Linked DNA regions of Bombyx mori. The protein of the gene in region 2 purifies or fractionates together with the protein of the main gene of each other region. This does not show direct contact. Links are inferred from orthologs where the notes say so. Each region holds a gene or a part of one and is shown on either strand. Other genes may lie near its edges. The genes, in order: Phf5a and 14 kDa subunit splicing factor 3b.

Region 1 (3,669 bases), on a different chromosome or scaffold from region 2:
TTAGTTTAAATGGCTCTCCTGTAGTTGCAAAAATGTCGCTTAAACCAAATAGCCCCCTTCACCCCTCGATATAATAGTTTTCTCATTCAATACCATAACTTTAAAATATTTGCTTGACCACCTAATTCATTGTGTAATTATATAGTGTTACTGACTAGTACTATATAATACTACTAGCTGGCAAATGTTGTTTTACCATATAAATTATTTCTAGGAAAGATAAATAACCTAGATACCGACTGCAGCGCCCTCTGCTGGGTTGATTTGTGAATCTAAACCATCCAGGGTGCCACCCAAATGCATACAAACACAATCATTCAAATCAGCACAGCCGTTAAGGAGGAGTTCAGTGACACACACACGCACATAAGAAATATATATATATAAAGATATAATATAGTCCAGGTATGTGTAATTCCCGGATAGTCAAAAGATATTTGATTAGAAATTACTTAGTTATGTTTGGTTGTTTCCCAGACCCATGACGAAGGAGAAAATGGTAGTGTAGGGCCATTAAATGTGTAATACCAATGCATTTATTAATAATTACATAATGTCTTAATGTAAGTACACACTAGAAACATAGTTTTCAAAATATGACAGACAACATTCACACAGTACAATCACTCTCATTACATACATGAATATTGCTAACATATTGTCTGTAGTTTTACAGAGCACATGGTAGTCAAAAATATCTTTATTGACAATTTAGTAGAAAAATAAAAAATAAAAATGAATCTTAATAATTTAAATGCAAAAACTAAATGTATTTTTCAAGTATTTTCTTTCTAGTTGGAAAATGAAAACTAATCTGCATTGAATAAACAAAGGATAAAAAAAATTGTAAAAAAATAACAGATATCATCGATAACAACAATCCAATTGTATAAATGAATGAATTTAAAAAAATATATGTGAATTTCTCTTGGACCCGAGCTGCAACTCTTTAGACATTGAAAACCATACTTGATCATAATAGCCGTTGGCTTTAAAAAGTCAACAACAAAGTAGTTGATAAAAACAAACTTGTATTTCAATCAAACTTTAGTTGAGAAAAACCTCTGTTTTTATTATTTTAAATAACAGAAACTTTGCAGAAATTAATATTTAAAAACTAAAAAGAAACCTAATGCTAGTGTCTCCTAAACCCATATTTCTTTCTCTCGTAGAACAGATCTGTTTTAGAGCTTCCCAAATTGACAATCTTTGGACAGCCATCTCTCTGTGAAAAATAACAATTTTATTAGCATAATAATATGTATTATTATTATTATTATTATTGTTATCAGCGCACAGACGTCCACTGCCATCGTCCATCGGTCCATCTTGTGGGAGGCCTACCCACGCTACGTCTTCCGATACGCGGTCGCCACTCAAGAACTTTCTGGCCCCAATGGCCATCTGTTCTACGAGCAATGTGTCCTGCCCAATGCCACTTCAATGCCACAATCCTTTTGGCTATACATTTTATTAGGCTTGGCTTAATGTACATGATATTGGGGACGCACACAATCATTATCAGGTCACTTGATCAAGTCAGGTTGACTAGTTTCTTGTGAGTTTTTAAACTATCAAAATATAACGATGTTTTTTGATTTGAGGAAATTTAAATTAATGATTTCGATGCGATTATTTGAGTTCAAAAATTACAAAATTAAAACTTACATCCTTCTCCTGTATCGTGCACTCCTTACAATAATAAGCATCAGATACTCCAGGCCCGCCGCAAATCACACATCGCCCCTGATACGAGCCATAGTTGCACTCGTCACAAATACGAACCAACGTGCACGGACGCACATAAGAATCGCAAATCACACATTTTCCGTCACATTTCTCACATAAACGTCCAATAGCTGGAAAAATAAGAAATAGCATTAAAACAAGCGACACTAAACTTGGTTGTCTTCCATTTTTTAATACTACTAACCGACTCCGGGCTGTTTCCTGCAGAAAATTAAATCTGGATGATGCTTTGCCATGTTTTTAGTTAGGTCTGGTCTGCTGGCGAATGTTCTTTGATTGTTATTATCAAACTTGCCGTTTACTGTTTTTTTATCGAATAACCTACAAAGATTTTGACGATTTTGACCCGGTAATTTTGACAAGTGGCACCATAGATATATTTTTTTGTTACAATTTTTCCTTATTAGGAAAGGCAAAGGGATCTAAGCCCATACCGCCTCATTTGTTCTATATAATTTCTGATATAAATTTATAATAAAGCCAAAGCCAGGTCTTATAGGATTTAAATTATATGAGTCGACTATTATCAAAGCCGGCAATCTGACTTTTGGACAATGATTGGTAAATCAGAAAAAACGAATTATTGACTTTGTATTCCATTGGCAGTCACAAAACTCTTCGGAACGACATCTTAGATAAATAACAGGTTAACTATTAACCTTTATTTAATGCAGGTTTTGAACCGTATTCTTTGAAGGAGACGATTATATTCAAAACAATCTGTATTGACATATCAATAATTTTTTTTTGTCCAAATGCACAGATTGCCACCTTTGATAATAGACGACTCATATCCTGAAATAAAAATTTCATTAAGGCCGAAGCCATGTCCTATAATTTGGCACCATAGATAAGTAGTAGTAGTAGTTTCATTTTTCCAAATGGAAAGGCAAAGGTATCATAGCATACAGCCTAACCTTTTATATATTTTTTTTTATTTTATGAAATATGATACTATGAAATGAAGTGTATTAATTTATGAAACATGGCATAAAATGAAATGAGATGAGATGATATAATATGGGGTATTTTTATGGAAAACGATAATATGAAATGAAATGAAGATGATTAATTTGAGACAACAATCAACTGGGATGAAATTAAATGAAATGAGATGAGATGATATGGGATGAAATATAATCTCAGTAAAATGGTGGTCATTTACTGAGATTTTTTCAGTGGACTTTTTGGAGGATCCCGAGAAGTTACGTCCAGTGGCTTTGTTTCATTTTCCCACATTTGTGCACTGTCACAGATATTAAACAGTTAATAAACCACCGTTATTACACATTTAAACCTGAAGAAACACTAAATAGACAAAATAAAACAAATCACACAACTTCACTCCTCGCGTTCCCACCAAAAAGTCTAATTGCCGGTTTGCGATCGGTCTTAATTGTCAAGTATACTTTTGACAGTTTTACTTCTTTGGTGACACATACGTCACATATTATATGTGATAGATTCAGAAATCAGAAATCAGAAATCAGCATACCCCTAATTCAAACACATGCTTTCAATATTCGCGTCTTTTTTGTATTCCCCAAAACAATGATAATTTAGAGAAAATGACTGCAGACAAGGAAAGCTATGGAGACGAAACCAACCAGGATAGTGAGGTGGAACAAACTCCAACCGAAAATGTCAACGAAGATACTGAAGATGATAAAATAACATTTAAGGATTTGGTAAGTTTTTACATTAAACTGTGTTTGTAATACTAAGTAAATACTGTAATATAATTTTATTGATTTTAATATCAAATGGTGCCTTAGATTTACTAAATTGCTTCAACGTTGAATAAAAATAACACTTTTTGAGGTTATTAACATAAGATTATATTTGCATTTAACCACAGGGAGTTGTAGACGTACTCTGCGAGGCTTGTGAAGAATTGAAATGGAAGAAACCCTCTAAGAT
Region 2 (3,128 bases):
TTTCCTACCTGTTTGCTGATAGCCTAAGGGGCTATTCCCGCTTCGCGCGGACGGTGAGATTACGGGCCTAACTTGAGAGAATTTGCCAACAGCCCTAACAAGGGCAGTGCTTCATGGAATCTATTCACTGAGAAGATCAGGCGAAAAACTCGATGGGCTGTCTTTTGGTTAGTTCACTCGTTGTAATCGACGACTTGGACGAGGACGGTGACCGGTGCTTCAAGTGCCTAAAAGCACCGAAAGTAGATCCGAAGGATCCGACAAGAAATGTTTCGGACGACGACGGATTTGCTTTGCTCCGTCGACCTGGGTCGGTACATATGTAATGCGCGGCGACCACGATAATAGGGTTATTGTATCGTGCCGCTTTGTCGAAGTAGCATTCTGACGCTGCTTTACTACTTACGTACCGATTCTAAATTTAGATCGTCGTGAAGGTCGAGATTCCTCACGTACCATGACGCTGCGATAGCTATCCTGCAGTAATGGGATTGGATGACCTGGAGGGTTTATATACAAGCAAGCCGCGTGATGTAAGTCGCATAGTGTATCCTTGTTACGATAGGACAATTTACTTCGTTACAGATCATGGGGTAGAATCGACCGTGTAAGAACGCAGCCTAGTCGCGTATTGACTTAATGTAGAGACTGAATATCATCCCTCTGAGGATGATGCCTAGTGTAAGGAAGAACGTGACTCTCGCGCAGAAAGGACAGGTTGAGACCAAGTACCAGTACCTGGTCTTTCAACCTGTCCAACCAATAATACGCAAGTTAATAAATTCTACAGGATTTACTTCGATTAGAATTAAAAGCTAAATCAAAAAATTATGGTTTTTATCATGGAAGACATTACGAAAGCGCGTTGGTACATTATTATTTAATGATAAGATTTTTATAGGTTCTCTGGCTTAAAATCTACACAGCTATACAAATCAAATAATTAAAAACAATTGTACTTAAAAAAAACTTATATTTTATAGTTTATCATTTACGCAGATCTTCACTAGATATTCCATATTTCTTTTTCAATGTATCAATTTCTTCTTGTTTCTTATCAATATCAATACCTTTAAAGGCTTTGTTGGATCTATAGTAGAGTACAACCAGATACCTGTTACAAACATTAAAACCAGATAGATGGTCACAGGCATTTTTTGCATCAAATATATCTTCATAAACAACAAATGCTGTGCCTCTTGTTTCTGGAGTGTTCCCTCTGAAATTGAAAATCAAATGATTGCTTTAAAAATATTTTTCTTATTAGGTTAATATAAAGTAAATCAAATGTCAATTTTATGACCAAATGCTCAAATTTGACACACATACACCAAATAAGGTAGTAGAAAGTACCACAAGTACTACACCAAACAAGTAGAAAGAAATCATATCATTAATTAACATAATCACACTTCATTACTATGACTTACTTATTCTTAATTTAAATAGCCAGACAAATTTTACTATGATATTTTTGGTCATTTAATAGAAATTATTGATAAAAGAGTTCCAGTCTTTCACAACTAAATATTTTAAATCTCATTATCTATTGCTTAGATTTTAAAATGAGCTCAGAATCCACCTGGTGGAAAATGGTTAACACAGCCCAAAGTCAACAATCTGAATGCTGCTACACACCAGACATAAGCTTGAAAAGTTAGTTGTTAAAACTAGCAATTTTACCATTCAAAGTACAATCTGTTCAGAAAAATATGCAGGATGCTTTCTGCCTGTTAAGGCTTACAATTCCACCAGTAATTATGAATATTTATAAATTTTGCAGGTTTCCTTTTTATATAAAATGTTATTCTTTCATCATTGAATTTATTTCATTAACAAGTATGAAATATGTATTTCCTTACAAAAAGTAGTAAGTGTCTGCAGTATTCAAAGACCAATTTGAATGTTTCACTTGATAGAAGGTACATCATGTGCTTTATCAATAGAGAGGGTTCAATAATAGTGTATTTCATAAAATGAGTTTTCATAGCTTTACAAGTTTACAACTAAAAAAATTCTAGCAATTTGTCTAAGTATAATTACATAGAGCCTATGCTCACAAGCAAATTTCACAATTCACTATTAACATACTGTGATAAAAGAAAATAAAATAAATATGCTTTATTGCTGTGAGCTCTCACAAGTAGAAACTACCAATGGTATCTGAATCTAAACATCAGATAATTATACATTCTGATTTTATACAATAGAATTGAGTATTCGACTCGACAAACTTCGACTACGACAAATGGGGGAATTTTCTTTAGTGCTATCAACGTAAATCTATTGTGTGTTGTGTTATGCATCTGTATGGTTATATACGACTATTTCCTGTCCATTTCTGCATCAAATCACTCATAAAATATGTTTTGAAAAGTATCACAGGAGATTACTCCAGTTCTACAGGGACTTTGACCTAAGACCTACGGTGTTAAAGGAATGCCCTGTGAGTAGAGGAGCTTCATTAACCGCTTGATATCCTGTCGTCAGTGGACTTATTTAGAGAGAGAGAGAGAGAGAATACACTTTATTGCACACCAACACAATTTACATTTTAAAAAAACAAACAGTCAAAAAGCACATATGTACAATAGGCGGTCTTATCGCTAAAAGCGATCTCTTCCAGACAACCGTTTAATTTACAGAAATTCTGTAAAATATAAAAAATATAGCAGGTGCGGTGTACCATATACAATACATTATTATAGAAAATATATACATATAATAAACAGATATATACCGTTTACATAATATAATATATACCAATATACATACTTACATACAATACATACTAATATATTTACACACACTTATTAAATCAACAGTATGGAAATTATAAATGATAATGATGCAACAAACAGCACTAAGCAGTTATGTAGTGTTCCTTCACCATTCTTTTAAAACAGTTTAAAGTTGGAGCACTTCTCACTGCATCCGGCAGAGCATTCCACAATCGAACCGCCTGGACGGTGAATGAATTGTCAAAGAATGATGATGAATGCACCGGCATTTTCAGTCTCAGGTTATCTGATGATCTCAGAGAAAAATTATGCGTATCACCTAGGAACTCGAAACGTTCTTTGAGATATGTAGGGGTATGGGGGTTAAAGAGAGTACAGTATAGTAAT

Evidence for each region.
Region 1: the proteins of 14 kDa subunit splicing factor 3b (region 2) and Phf5a purify together in Homo sapiens (affinity purification with mass spectrometry; 4 studies listed by BioGRID and IntAct, with this or other methods). This does not show direct contact. The link is inferred for Bombyx mori from reciprocal best matches to the Homo sapiens genes SF3B6 and PHF5A.

Annotation. Positions count from the first base shown.
Region 1 is NC_085114.1:14,383,821-14,387,489, forward strand, and holds Phf5a (PHD-finger 5A), read right to left. Parts: upstream 2,041-3,669; 5' UTR 1,986-2,040; coding exon 1,934-1,985; intron 1,860-1,933; coding exon 1,669-1,859; intron 1,226-1,668; coding exon 1,136-1,225; 3' UTR 519-1,135; downstream 1-518. Other genes in the region: ATP-dependent RNA helicase DDX47, read left to right, coding at 3,318-3,437, 3,608-3,669.
Region 2 is NC_085111.1:9,664,592-9,667,719, forward strand, and holds the end of 14 kDa subunit splicing factor 3b, read right to left. Parts: intron 1,220-3,128; coding exon 988-1,219; 3' UTR 779-987; downstream 1-778.